2 linked regions of the Rattus norvegicus genome follow. The protein of the gene in region 2 purifies or fractionates together with the protein of the main gene of each other region. This does not show direct contact. Links are inferred from orthologs where the notes say so. Each region holds a gene or a part of one and is shown on either strand. Other genes may lie near its edges.

Region 1 (7,413 bases), on a different chromosome or scaffold from region 2:
ATGCTATGTGATAGCAATGAGAAAAATAACTAATACAGTAGAGACAGTCTAAGTATCAGGGTAGACCCAGGTTACAGTAGTACAGAACCTGCTTCTGAAAGGCAGAGAAAGTGACCACTATGTGTTTTATGGGCCTGAGCAGTTATGTCTACAGAGGTCTTTGCAGGGAACACTACCTCTTAACCAAGCTCTCTGCCTCAGAGCACCTTAAAAATTCTGTTTGCACAGAATTTTCATGAAAAAGGTCTTCATGAAAAGATTTACTGGACAGGCCTCTCAGGAAAGACAGTACCGACACATAAATAATGCCCTTACCTAATCACCATTATTGCTTCTTCAGTCTTTTTCCTCGCATGATAAATATGAACTGCTTCACACAAATCCTGGTGGCCTAACACGCTCTCAGATTTTCATACAATGGCTTTTAAGCATCATCTGATCTACAGCTCTTCTTCCAAGCAGGCAGGTCAGCTCAATTTCCCTTCCTTTTAAGGAATCACAGGAATCCTTTAAAATGGATCACAGGAAGTGGAAAAAGATAAAGGAGCCAATATCTTACTGTATGAGGTGGGTAGTAAAGGAAAACCAGCAAAAGTTTATGGGAAAGAGGGCCAAGGGTGTAGTGTGCCAAGGTCCTAGTGCAGTAGTGGATGGGTCACCTAACATGAGCACCACTCTGGTTCAATCTCCAGCAAACCCTGCTCCAAACTAATGGAAAAGAAAGGCACAGATACATTAGCTAAAGCTTCATTAAGTGTTAGGTTGAAGAACAGAATAATGTCATAATTACCTAAACAAGTATGAATCCTCTACATCAAACCCTCTTCTTCAATAAAGGGTCAAGAAATCGTCACAAGCATTTAAGTGAAGGTATGATAATTAAGCTTTAGATAGAAGTGAGATAATTAAAGAGGTGAGCTCCAATATGAGGAGTGTGAGCACAGATAAGGGGGAGGGGACTATTAGTTTGATCATAAATCCCTATACCAAGTGCGTGCAGTCCTTTAGCAGTAGTTTTAAGAAAATAGGCCATTCTTCAAAAGGGACTTTAGTCCTATCCCAGGCTTCTTGTTCTGCTGTTAAGAAGTTCCTTATTGGGGCTGGAGAGATAGTTCAATGGTTATGACCACTGCCTGCTCTTCCAGAGGACTTGGGTTCAATTCTCAGCACCCACATGGTACTCACAACCATCTTTAACCCCAGTTCCAGAGGAACAGACATCCTTTTCTAGCCTCTGTAAGCAACAGGCACATATGTGATGTACAGCAGGCAAAACAGTCATGCACACAAAGTAAGTATCTTTCTTAGAAAACAAGTTCCTTTCTATGTCTTAAGGTATAGCACAAAGCTTCAAGGACGTATGGCTCCCTTCCACCTTAATAGTAAAGAAGAATGACTTCTTCATTTTTCCCTGTAGAAACTCTGGACTGAGCAGTTTAGCAAGCTCAAGCCCCACCAAGAACCAAGTATGCTTGTTCAAGGTCTCAAACGATGGTGGCATCAGGGAAGAGGGCATTCTCCACTACAGCACTGGGGGGAAGGGCAGTGGTCTCATGGCAGTTAGGTCAATATTGATCAAGCTTAGAACTCTGTGCAAAGGCATGCAGCAGGTATAAGAGGATTCCAACCAGACAGCCCAAGCCTGCTCCAGGAGCCCACAATAAGGCTGACAGGTGGTAAAGACAGCAGCCTGCATTGCTCACCGTTCTCTGAACTAGTCCTTATTTGAGTCCCAAATGTGCTTAGATTAGGCCTTCTCTTGTCCCGTGCCAATTATTGAAAGGATCCTTCCAAACCTCTTATTCAAACCAAAGCAGCTCAGTTTGCTGTATTAGTGTTCAGCAAACATCTTCTCACACAGTGTGGCCCCAGATGAGAAGCAAGGAAAACCAGGGGGCTTCTCCCATAGGTGGGGATCATTAGGAGACTGCATTCCAAGTAAGTTCAGGGTAAAGAGAGGTGGGCCATGATGGCGTTACTATTTTCTAGAGTTGGAGATGGATGAAGTGCCTGTGCCTTCTTCACTAGCTCAGGCCAAGACAGATGTGGCAGACAACGCAGCACGTACATCGCTGCTACGTCCCAGCATGGTCCAAGGTTCTTTTCAAAGGGGTCTTCTACAAACACATTTTCTGACCATAGAATCTGGAGTTATGGATCAGGTACAGAAAAAAAGGTGCAAATGGTCAACAACTTAATGTGGTGGAAGAAAGAAAACAGGGTTGAGAAGTAGCCAGCCAAGCAAGAGCGTGTGCTTCAAACTGACTTTATACTCATGGTCAGAGACCAGAGGGATCAAAATATCAAAGTAAAGGGATTCTCAACATGGCAAAACCACTAGCAACAAATACCTCTCCTCTGAGAGCCTGCAGTTTTTATCAATTACAAAACTGCAGTTCTTCCCCCAACAGACATCCAATTAGCCCATTACAGCACTGGTGCTTGCGGAATGGACCATTTTCTCAAAAGACCATTCCAGAGTTCAAGGGAGGAAGTAACAAGCAGAACCAAGGGGCCTTGACTCTGAATATACAGCTCTTTACACTGTCTTATGGTTCCTTTTCCCAATTACCCCCAGCCCCCAACAGATACAGACACAGACACAGACACAGACACACACACACACACACACACACACACACACACACACACACAGACATACACACATACACACACACCCTCACCTTAGGTCCAAATTCTTATGAAACTAACCAACACTAGTCCACTAAGCTTCAGTCAGGAAAGTAATGGTTCCCTTTAGGTCTAGACAGGAGTAGGAGATACTATTCTGTGACCTAACAAAACCCCAAAATAAATAATCTAAAGCAAAATTTCTTATAACTTCATTCAGTTTCCATGCAGGCCTGAGGTTGCTCTTAAACACTCAACAAAATGTAATCTGATTGATAGAGACTTCTTTAAAAGTTGTTTCACCCTTCAGAAACACACATCTGTCCAGAAAAGCCCGAGACAGCTAAGGCTCCCCCTCCTCTCAGATTTTCTTAGTTCAAGGTTTAGCTGATCTGAAATCATGTGCAGAGATAGAGGGTGTGATAGAGAACACTTAAAACACGGGGAAAACAGAGCTGAGGGAGACGAACATCAGCAAAATTCTGGAGAGAGGTGTCAAAAGTTGGAAATCACTATCTGTAGGGGTGTTCTCGTCAGATCTTTCTCCTACAGGAAGCCCTCCAGAGGACTGGAGATTGAGAAAGGGTAAGGGAAGCCAAAGACAGCTTCAGAGAACATCAGGCACCCTGGAGAGGGGTTGAGGACTAAGGTTAAAGTAAATGGTATCGGAGTACGATGACAGTAGTCTGAGATCCTTTAAGGAGAAGGGAATAGACAGTTCTTGGAAGCCAGGAGCTGAGGGAGTGGGTTATGGTGAGGTAATGGAATCGGAAGCAGAAGAGAGGGATACAATCTTTAGCTGAGGGAAATGAGAACTCTGTGCTGAGATTGCACTGACTCGGAAGAGTGGGGCAAAAAAGGAAAAGGGATAAAGGCGGAGTCCATGGAAAAGTCTTGTGAGCAGAAACAAACGACGAGGAAGGGCAAACATGGATAGATATTGTAGAAGGGGTCTAATGTGGAAAAGGTTCACGACTTGGAAAAATAGTTAAGGAACAGAGGCAACAGAGGTAAGAAGTGTGTGTGGTGCTGGGTGGGAGGTGGAATCCGCGGGGCAGAGGGAGGGGCTAAACTGAAGAGGAAGCCAGAAAGCAGAGGAGACGACCCCGCGCCCGAGAGGAAAGGGTGAAGGACCTCAGGGTGCAGCTGCCACCAGGGGGGCAGTTTTGTAGTCGATCCCAGGTCGCGGAAGGCTGGGCGGGACAGGGTGGCAGAAGGACCCCCCACAGGCAAAGGCGACTCATGGGGGAGGAGCCGCTTACCTCCGGGGGACCCTCGCGGAGGGGGTGCAGGCGGTCGGGGTCGGACTGCCGACACCGCCGCCTCAGCAGCAGCGGCCGCTCCCGGGTTCCATTGGCCGCCTGCGCTTCCCTGACAGCGGCCGCGGCGGCTGCACCAGGCCCCGGCTGCGGGGCTGCCCGCGGCGCCGCCTGAAGGGGCCTTCACGCTACCTCAAGTTGGACCGGACCCCACTTGCAGGACCCAAAATAACAATTCCTTGATGGGTTGCGATGTAAGAGTCCGCTGGGCCCGAGCCTTTCTTCTCGGCGCTTGCTTTCCTGCTTTCCGAACTGTCAGGACACTACCGATGCCATAGTAATCTGAGTCGGGTGAGCTGCCCGAGTCATGCCTGTTCAGAAAGGAAAAGGGGGCGGGGAAGAGCTTTTGGAAGCTAGGGAATGAGCGGGGGTGGGGACAGGGAGGAGGAGCCTATGGGGGAAGGAGGGCCCAGTGTTTGAGGGCGGACCTAAGAGGCAGGCTTTACTAAGGAAGCCGAGAGGGAAGTAGCGTGGGCAGGATCAGTGGAGGGATGCGGAGGTACTGATATTTTATGTACTTCCAAAAGTATACCAACACGCAAATTATACGTCAACTATTCATTTGCATAAGCCACCGAGTTACCGTAATTGCCACCAGTGGCTTTTCTTCTTTTCCTATCCTACAGGATTCCCTTCGTAAATCAGCCGGTGGGACTCATGTGGGAGGGCCAGAAAACAGACGAGAAAGAGAAGGGAGGAAGAAAGGAGGACAATCACCTTCATTTTCCTTTTCCTACTCATCTTTAAGGACGATGCCATGAGTATGCCCCTGTAGCTTCAGGAATGGCCCAGTCCAACCGCCTCAATCTTTTCACTGTTTCGCAGCACTCTGGGACAAGGTTCTGCTTCCGAGGTCACCTCAGCTTGTCGCCAAGACTTTAACAGAGGCTGTTCAAGACAGGTTAGGAAAGGTGAGTGAAATACAAAAGCTTGGAGGACCTATTCCTTTTACAAACGAAACAAAATCGCGTGAAACTGAACATAAGCAGGCCTCGTAAAGTCCCACAATCACTGTCCCAACACTTTTCCTGAGGCTTTTTTTTTTTTTTAATATCTTAGGCCCCTGGTGAGGGTAGATAATTAATATTCTACTGGAAGCTGGTTGAGCCTAGCTCTTGGCTGCCATCTTCGTTGTGCTTATAGGCTGATTTGAGATCTTTGTTTCTTTTTGTTTTTCTTTCCCTTTCTTCTCTAGCTTCCTTCCCATGCCCCTTTCCCCTTTTTAGAGACAGTCTATTTTTCCAAGGCTGCTTGTGCTATTCCTTGGCTCAAGCCACTGGCCTATGGGAATACATTCACATGCCCTCAAGCTGGACTAAACCTCAGCTTCTGTATAATAATATGACAATATTACTATAACACTATATTAACAATAATATGTGATATAATATTTGGTTATAGTACTACATGTCTGTTATGGAAACATGCAGGTGAGGAGTGAAGGATGTCCCTGCTTCCGTATTTAACTGGGAGGGAGGCAGATAAAGAGCTGAAGATGAAGGACTGGAAAGACGGCTCAGTGGTTTAGTGCTGTTGCTCTTGCAGAGGACCACAGTTCAATTCTCAGCACCCACATGGTTGCTTGATATCCACAACTCCACTTCCAGGGAGTTCCAATTCCATCTTCTGACCTCTGCGGGTACCAGATACATACATAGATGGAGGCAAAACATTCATACAGGTAAGATTATCTTTCTTATTTATTTATTTATCTATCTATCTATCTATCTATTTATTTATTTATTTATTTATTTATTTGAAGCTATAGCTTGAAATGCCTGCATAAAACCTGCAGCAGGCACAAAAGTAGAACAAATGGAGTTCTTATTTACTGGAGACACTGGGCAAAACCTTGTTAAATCAACACAGAAGGCCTGGCTGCAGAGTATACGGTGGAAGGATGGACGGCTTCTGTGAACCCTGCAGGGCAGAACTCAGTATCCAGTAGGATAAAAAAGAAAGGGCATTCTAAGAGGTGAAAAAACAATGTTTGCTGAATAATACAGATCAGAGCCCGAGGACAGGACAGACAGACAGACCAGGCTAAGGCAGGGGGTGGGGTGGCCACAGCAGCGGAAGGTAAGCAAAGAAGAGCTTACTCTGTCACTGTGTGTCTGGGCTGGTGATCACCAGTCCACCTGACAGGACCACAGTTCCGGGTTAGCTTCCAACCAGCTGTATCAAGAGGTGGTGACCTTGTGGTAGCCTAGAGTTTAAAATGTTACATCTTCCTCCAACCTAGGATTCCCTGGGGCCGCACAAGTAGGCTTTATTTTTTTTTTTTTTGTGGGTTTTTTTTTTTTGTTTGTTTGTTTGTTTGCTTTTAGGAGATAAAGTCTCTACATTTGCCCTGGCTGTCCTGGAACTATGTAGACCAGGCTGGCTTCAAACTCAGAGATCTCCCTGCCTCTGCCTCCCAAGTACTGGGATTAAAGGAGGCCACCACCATAGCCCAGCCAATGGCAATTCTTAACCAAATGAGGCCATTTCGCTCATTTATATACCTACATAGAATTAAGTCATGAGTAAGTAGAAAGTCTACTTCAAGATTTCTGTTTAGCCCTACACGTACAGGTGAAAACGTCTTTGCATTTATGGTTTTGTCTTCCAGTTCTTATCCGGAGAGGTTGGGTGTTTTGTTTACTTACCACCACATATGTTGCAACTTTGTTTCTACTTGCATTCTGACAGTGTCATTTGTTTCTGCAGTGCTGGGCATGTGTGCCTTATGCGTGCTAAGCAAGTGCTATACCACTGGGCCCTATCCAGACCCTGCTCCCTTTTTTGATCTAGGTACTCAAACTGCAACCCTGTCTGAGACTCCCAGGTAGCTAGGATTAGTGGTCTAATTTTATCTAGACTGAGCTCCTAAGGAAGAAGTTCTCAACCTCCCTTTGATATACAGTTCCTCATGTTGTGGTGACTCCAACCGTAAAATTATTTCATTGTTACTTCATAACTAATGCTACTGTAATGAATCATAATTTAAGTATTTCTGGAGACAGAGGTTTGCCAAAGGGGTTGAGAGCCCCATGCTGAGAACTGCTGTCCTATAGGAAGGGAAAGGATTTACCTTTGCATTCTAGATATCCAAAGTTTCTACCACAGGAAAACGCATATGTTGATACAGCAATCAGATTGAGTTCAGAGCAGATATGAGAATTTAGTAGGGTATAAGGGAGATTTAAGAAATTGTAAGGGTTGGGGATTTAGCTCAGCGGTAGAGCGCTTGCCTAGTGAGCGCAAGGCCCTGGGTTCGGTCCCCAGCTCCGAAAAAAAGAAAAGAAAAAAAAAAAAAAAAAAAAAAAGAACTGGGTCGCAGACACATTTATTTGGGCTGGAGAGATGGCTCAGTGGTTAAGAGCCCCGACTGCTCTTCCAGAGGTCCTGAGTTCAATTCCCAGCAACCACATGGTAGCTCACAACCATCTGTAATGGGATCCGATGCCATCTTCTGGTGTGT
Region 2 (7,349 bases):
CAATCACATTCACCAAGCAATGCATGTCCAGGGCAACCTGCCTGGGTAACTGTCAGGCAGAATCTGACCTCAGGGCTCTGGGACACGGCCTTTCTCTTCCATCTCAACTTCAGGTCTTCCCCTCAGGAGTCCTGGTTCTACTCCTGGAGGCAGCGAAGCCCAGTGCACCCCAGCCTGCCTATTTCCGAGGTTCCTACCACCTGGGCATTCATCAGCGATAGCTAACAAATTCTGACTCATCTTCAAGATCCAATAGTCTATGACACTCCTCAGTTCAGACTTCTGTTCTGCATGCAGACTATCACATGGTCTGGTTCACAAGGCATACAATGACAGGCTTAGCATCCTTCCAAGACTCTGTGAGTACCCAGTATAAGAATGTCCAGTTCTGGGAGGAGGACAACATTTGGGATGTTAATTAAAATAATTAAAAAAGAAGTGAAGTTCAGAGAAGGATAGATGTGGAGCTAGTAGACAAGAGCCTATAACCCAGAACCAAGGACTTTCAACCACACTGGGTGGGGTACAGACTTCTGAGCCATACAGAAACAAGCTGGACTGCAGGAATCTTCTGCCACATCTGCCCCTTACTTCCTTCCCTCAGGAGCTGCCACAGCCAGGAGAACTTTGTTCCTCACTCTCATGCCCACAGGAGTAACATGAAAACTGTGCCCTGCTCAAGAGGTCTCTCACACTTTTGCTGTCTTCTCCGTCTTGCCTCTGTTGTACAGCCTCGGGGACTCTTAGCCACAACATCTGCATGAAGACCAGGACTGTACCTTGGGCCAAGCTTATGCCCAAATGCCTCATGGGCCTACTCTTAGTAAATTCTCAAGGCCACCCCAGGGACAGACACAAATGTCAACAATCCCTCTGCAGTAAGGGATTCTCAACCCCGGAGTCCAAATCCCCAGTCCAAGGTTACACATTAGAACAATAATGCATGGAGCTGGCTGAGAGTCAGTAGATCATGCCCAGGTGAACAGCAGGAAGGCTAGGCTGCTCAGGCCATCCCCAGCACAGGATGCCTGATACACCAGAGTGGCAACTGGGCTGGCTGTCTCTACATGTAGAATGGGTATGAAATGGCATTGTTAAGAAAACAAGTGATCACATTGTCTTGGGAAAATATGGGCCCTTCAGGAAACCCCCAGCATTTCCAAAGAAGTCGGCGACTTTGCTGGATAGAAAAGGTCCCTCTGGATATGCCATTTGGCTGCTTGAACAGTCGAGCCAGTTGGCACAAAGATCTGACACCTCTCAGGAGCCCTGGATGCTCTGGCCTGCCCTGTGATAGGATGGAACCCCTGGAGACCCAATGTCGGGAAGGTGTACTCTAGGAAGTGGCCCTAACTATTCTTGGGCCTGGCACAGGGGAGGATTATTGACTTAATCTCTCAGGCTAGTGAGAGTCACTAGCACAGCAGGCCTGGTAGACACACTGCCTAGTCTGGTGTACTTGGCAGAGGGTTATAAATTCTAGGGCTAGCCCTGTCCCTGGTGTCTAGTGATTTCTGTTCTTGGGCAGGGGTGGGTACAACTCAAAAGAACAGAGTTCCTGTGCTTCCCACATGACCTATGTCCTTGAAGACTGGGCGGGCACTAATGTCTGGGAACGCTGGGAAAAAGAGTCTAAGGATGGGGCTTAGGAGATTCCAGTGCAGTAACCCTGACTCAAGTGTTCCTCAGAGAAGTTACGGCTATCCCTAGGGATCCACCAGCAGGTTGGGAAAATGGCCAGTGCCTGACAGGAGAAAATGTTGAGAGAAGAAACGTGAGGATCTATAATTAGGTACAAATAAACAACCTCACTCCTGGGGCAGAAGAGACTATTTATGGAGGAAAACAAACGGCATATGGCTACCCACTCTTGAGACCTCTTGGCCTTAGCCTTAAGGTCAAAGGAGCCAAAGTGTGATGTGGCTGCCAAAAACTGTGTTTGTGTATGAGCAGCCACTGTCGCAAGCACAGGCTTGTGGCCCTACATGTCAAAGAAATGTGACCAAAGCCTAGGATAAGGAAGTAGGGACAGGCAAAGGTGGTGGATCCAGCACAGGGGTTTGGGGGTGAGGTAGGGCTCCAGACTACTACACTTCCTGAGTTCCTACAGGTGACAAAGAGAGCCACATAGTGACAAAAGCAGCCTGTCAATACTTGTAGTGCAAACGTAGATTTTTTTTTCTTGAGACAAGGTTTTGCTATGTAGCTTAGGCTGGCCTTGAATTTATCTTCTTACCACTGAATTAAGACGCCTCTCCAAGGCTGACCAGGTTACCACCATTGTTATAATGGCTGACCTGGAGCATCTAAAGGCTGTGAGTCTCAAAAGGGATTGGCAGGTGCAGTGTACTCACATTATTCGCCACATGCAGGCAAAATGATGTGATTGGTGATAACAATCTGCCTGGCTTCCCTTTTTATTTCATAGCACTCCTTTATCTAATTTAATGGTTTAAAGTCTGAATGAAAAGGACAAATGTTAACGCTCAGGTGAGATGCCAGGAATGGAGAGGAGACCTAGGGTGAGCACTGGCAGAATGTTCACCTTGGGGGTTAGGCAGCTACTATGACTTACTGAAGAAGGTACCTGCCAGACCAGGAAAGGAGGACAGTAGGAGAGGGTAGTGGGGGCAGGTGGCTACTCTCCTTCTACCAATACCAACCCCCCAACCCCGTTGCCAGCTGCTGCAGGAGCTGATTGGTGCTTCCAGGAAGTGAGCTCTGGAGACAAGTACCAGGAATGGCAATGGAGTTCCATTGCCCCTGACCTAGTAACTGCACTTCTGGGAATGCACATCAAGGAAACAGCCCACAGGGCAAAGAGAGGACTCGGGCACACATTCAATGCCAGGCTATTTATAACAGTGAAAAGGCTGAAAACAAGCAGGGAATGACCACAGATGCCTGGATGTGATGACTTGAAGGGAAAAGATCCCCCTGCCCTGCCTGGAAGCTTCCTCCGGGTGGTCTGAGTGGGGACAGGCCCCGGACACAGCAGGACTTGAATCTTTTCTGTCACCAGAGAGCCTTCCAAATCATACTCTGCCTCTGAAGTGATACCTGGACTCTAACACCTGTAATTAGTCTCACACCTGGATATAGCCCACGCCTAGCCCATAGTGCTGTGTGGTACCCGTATCTTTGCAGAAGTCTGTCTCTGTCTCTGTCTTATGAGCCTTTTGCCACAAGGATATCCCAACTACCTCCACAACCCTGAGGGCAAAGGTATGTCCCTGGAGGATCCAGAAGTTATCTCTCAAAATCCATCACTGTCAATCAGGGAGTCTAGGACCCAAAAGCCCAGCTTGGCATAGAAGGTGTCACAATGCCAGATCCTTAAAATATGCTCACCAGAAGAATGGGGAACCCCAATGACACGGACAGAAGCTTACAAAGTAGGGAAGCTCTTCCTGAGTTAGATATGTATGTGTTGAAGGGAGGTATAATACCTGTCTTTTCCATATCTAAGCTGCAATCCTTGTCCCTAAACTTATACTCTAAGTGGCAAAACCTGTCCTGGGCTCAATCCTGCTCCACCCTTAGGAACCTGATTCTCTGAACTTCAGTTTTTCCCTTTTGTTCTGAGGACAGACTATGGCTGTGTAACATAAGTTAGCTTTTAAAAAATTAAAAAAACAAAAACAAAAACATCCAAATTCTGTTGACTTGCCACTCCTGTCTCGCCCCTTTATGTGTACCAGGTTTGCCTTGAACTCACAGATCTCTGTCTCTCTCTTGCTTCCTGAGTGTTGGGATTAAAGGTGTGTGCCACCACATTCTGCTAAATTACACTATTTTTTTCTGTGTATCTATCTATGTGGGCTCATATGAAGGGCAGAAGACAATTTGCTGACTTTTGTCCACCATGGAGGCTCCAAGATTGAACTCAGGTCATCAGGCTTGGCAGTGCACACCAATACCTAAGCTCCCTCACCAGCCCAGGTTGGCTTTGAACTGGAAAGAGATCCTCCTACCCCCAACTCTGAGTACTGGGATTCCAGGTGTGCACCACTATAGGCCTGTTTCCTGGACAAAGTGGACTGTATAAACTCAAAGAGGATTAAAAGGGACCATTGTTGTAAAGTCTCAGAATAGTGCAAGTACTGCATTTGATCTCATCCATGTTCTTTTTTTCTTTGAAAAAGGGTTCCAGTAATCCAGCCTGGCCTCTGCACTTTTGCTCTTCCTACCTCTGCCTCCCAAGTGTTGAGACTACAGGTCTGCACCATCACCAATGTTTATGCAGTGTTGGGGATAAAACCCAGGGCTTTGAGCATGCTTCTGATAAGCATGCTACTAACTGAATCACATTTCCGTCAATTACCAAGAGTTTGAACTAGTGATGAACAGACAGGCCTCAATATACCCAATTCCAAAGCACCACAATTTAGGGATACTGCACCTCATGACCCAGCCTCCACTCCAAGGTAGGCCCCGCCTGTAACAAGTCAGCCCTAGAAGGCTCAAACCAATCAGGCTTAGTGGGCACGCCCACAACCTTCTCCATCGCCCTACCACCACCTATAATCCCGCTTTCAACGTAGTCCGCCCGCCAAACCCAAGAAAGCCCCGCCCCTCAGGACGCCCCGCCCCAACGGCCTCTTCGACCACTTCGGGCCCCACCCCCTCAAGGCCCCGGCCCCGCCCCGGCGCATCCGGGGTCCATAGGCCTCTCCGAGTCTCCCTCATCTCACCGCTGCGCACTAAGGCCCAAAACCTAGCAAGCTCCACTTGCCACGGCTTCCTCAGACTCCCTACCCCGGATAGGCCCCGCTGAAGCCCCGGGCTCCACCTTGAACCCTCTGGTCCTGTATCACGGCTTCGGCCCTCCAGTCGCTACTGCGACCTTGCCTATTTGTACCCCACCGGGCGCACCTTTGAATAGGTAATCGTACTCGTCGTCCCGGGTCCCCATTGTCCTGGCGCTTCCGGCGGGATCGGCGACTCCGCAGCCCCACCACAAACACCCGACGGGGGCGGTACCGGCGCCGCGCAGAGCGGCGGTCTGGTGGCCAGTCAACGGTGAAAGCGGTAGTGACAGGCACCTGAACAAGCCAATCAAACTTAGGAGGCGAGCTCAGGGGGTGGGATCGTCCTGGGATCCACCCTTCTAGTCCTAGGTCTCCTGGAGAAAGGCGGAAGGAATGCGGACCTTTTCGAAGTGACAGATTCAGCAGCCTATCAAAAGCAGATGGAGAAAGGAGGGGCGGAAGACTTGAACAATGAAGCGGATTGACAGAGTATGTAACCAATGAGAGACTGGACTGAGACTCGGCCTTCCAGTGGACCTGTATCGAGCTACCTCTAGGTGAAGTTACGGACTCTAACGTCCTGGTGACATCATAGAACAGTGGGTTTCCTCTGGCCTCTTAGTCTAGCCCCATAAATGACCATTTCCGGGTGTATGTACGTGGATTGGGGTGCCTTCTCTGAGTTGCACTTCCCCAGTTATTTGTTTAAACCTAAAGCTTATGCCAGTACCTCCAAAACAAATGGGGTTCCTAGGCTTTTTTCATTTGTTCTTCTCAAAAAGTTCTATTGTTTTCTGCTTTCACCATTACTCATATTTTTTTATTTTCTAAGACAGATTTTCACTATGAAACCCTAGCTAGACTGGAATTGGTGATATGGCTCAGACCATACCTGTCTGGCTTTCTTTTCCCTTTTTTTCTTTCTTGTTTTTTCGTAACAGGGTCACACCATGTAGCCCTGGCTGTCCGGAACTTGCTCTGTAGACCAGGCTGGCCTCGAACTCACAAAGAGCCGCCTATCTCAGCCTCCCAAGTGCTGGGATTAGAGGCACTTGCTACCACCACCCGGCTTGATATTTTGTTTTGTTTTTTGAGACAAGGACTTATGTTACCCTGGCTAGCTTCAAGTTGAAAAGGGAGTAGCCCCTTTCCTCAGCTGCCGCCAAGGTGCTCGGTCCTTCTGAGGAAGCTAAGGCTGCATTGTGGTGAGGCCCTCACTTCATCCAGCGACTAGCTCCGTGCGGGCAGTCCACAACATGGCTTCTGTCTCCGAGCTCACCTGCATCTACTCCGACCTTATCTTGCACGATGAGGTGATGGTCACAGAGGATAAGATCAATGCCCTGATTAAAGCAGCTGGTGTCAATGTTGAACTTTTCTGGCCTGGCTTGTTTGCAAAGGCTCTGGCCAATGTCAACATTGGGAGCCTCATCTGCAATGTAGGGGCTGGTGGGCCAGCTCCAGCAGCTGGAGCTGCGCCTGCTGGTGGTCCTGCTCCATCCACCGTTGCTGCCCCAGCTGAGGAGAAGAAAGTAGAAGCAAAGAAGGAAGAATCTGAGGAGTCCGAGGATGACACGAGCTTTGGTCTTTTTGACTAAACTGCTTTTGTTAACATGTCCAATAAAGAGCTGAACCTGGGGGGTGGGGGGGAGAGAAAAGGGAGTAGAGACAGAAAAAAGGCAGAAAGAGGGGCAGGGGTTGGGGGGCCAGGAGCACATGGAGAGAGGGGGCAAGGAGGACGGGGAGAGAGGGAGAAAGGGCAGAGAGTAGGAGGATGAGAGAGTGAGGAAGGGTCGCTATTGCATGCTGTGCACTATATGTTTGCAGTGCCCATAGAAGTCAGAGATGATGTTGGATCCTTGAGACTCGAGTTATAAACAGTTGTGCCACCATGTAGGCGCTGGGAATCAAACCTGGTTCCTCTGTTAGAGCAGCAATGATCTTAACCACTGAGCATTCTCTCAAGACTGAAGCTAAATTAATTAGAATGCAAAGGCTTGATTTCAATCCCTAGCACTGAAGTGGGGGAGGAAGTTATTACTGGCACTATAACAGGTGTTTAGAAGCTGCTTTGGGGCTGAAAATGGGGCTCAAATGATAGAGTTCTAGCTCAGTATGCACAAAAACTGGGTGTGGTGGCGCATGCCATTAGGAGAGTCAGGAGTTCAAGGTCATCCTGTACCACGTGAGTTTGAAGCCCTTATTAAACAACAAAAATAAGGGGCTAGAGGGAAAGCTCATCCATTAAGATCACTTTCTGCTTTTACAGAGGGCCCAGGTTTGATTCCCAGCACCAGAATGGTGGCTTACAACCATCTGTAACTACAGCTTCAGGGTGTCTGATGCCTTAGCGTCCTGGATTCATGGGGTACACATAAATCCTGAAATGCATACACAATCACATTATATGGTTGCATAATCCATATTGTGCACTTGGGAGGCAGAGGCAGAGGCAGGCAGCTGGATCTCTGAATTTGAGGCCAGTCTGGTCCATGAAGCTAGCTCCAGAACAACAATGAGGAGGGAGAGGAGGAGAGAGGAAGGAGGAGGGAGGTGAGGGGGGAGGAGGAGGAAGAATAGAGGAAAAAAAGAAAAAAT

Evidence for each region. Proteins that work in one complex are often made in the same cells at the same time.
Region 1: the proteins of Rab11b (region 2) and Pi4kb purify together in Homo sapiens (co-immunoprecipitation; 3 studies listed by BioGRID and IntAct, with this or other methods). This does not show direct contact. The link is inferred for Rattus norvegicus from reciprocal best matches to the Homo sapiens genes RAB11B and PI4KB.

Annotation. Positions count from the first base shown.
Region 1 is NC_086020.1:185,226,210-185,233,622, reverse strand, and holds the start of Pi4kb (phosphatidylinositol 4-kinase beta), read right to left. Parts: upstream 4,232-7,413; 5' UTR 3,894-4,231; intron 508-3,893; exon of another isoform or gene 327-507; coding exon of another isoform or gene 316-326; intron 1-315. UniProt on the Homo sapiens protein: Phosphorylates phosphatidylinositol (PI) in the first committed step in the production of the second messenger inositol-1,4,5,-trisphosphate (PIP). May regulate Golgi disintegration/reorganization during mitosis, possibly via its phosphorylation.
Region 2 is NC_086025.1:15,231,790-15,239,138, forward strand, and holds the start of Rab11b (ras-related protein Rab-11B), read right to left. Parts: upstream 4,966-7,349; 5' UTR 4,916-4,965; coding exon 4,876-4,915; intron 1-4,875. Other genes in the region: Rplp1l1 (large ribosomal subunit protein P1-like), read left to right, coding at 6,008-6,349. UniProt on the Homo sapiens protein: The small GTPases Rab are key regulators of intracellular membrane trafficking, from the formation of transport vesicles to their fusion with membranes.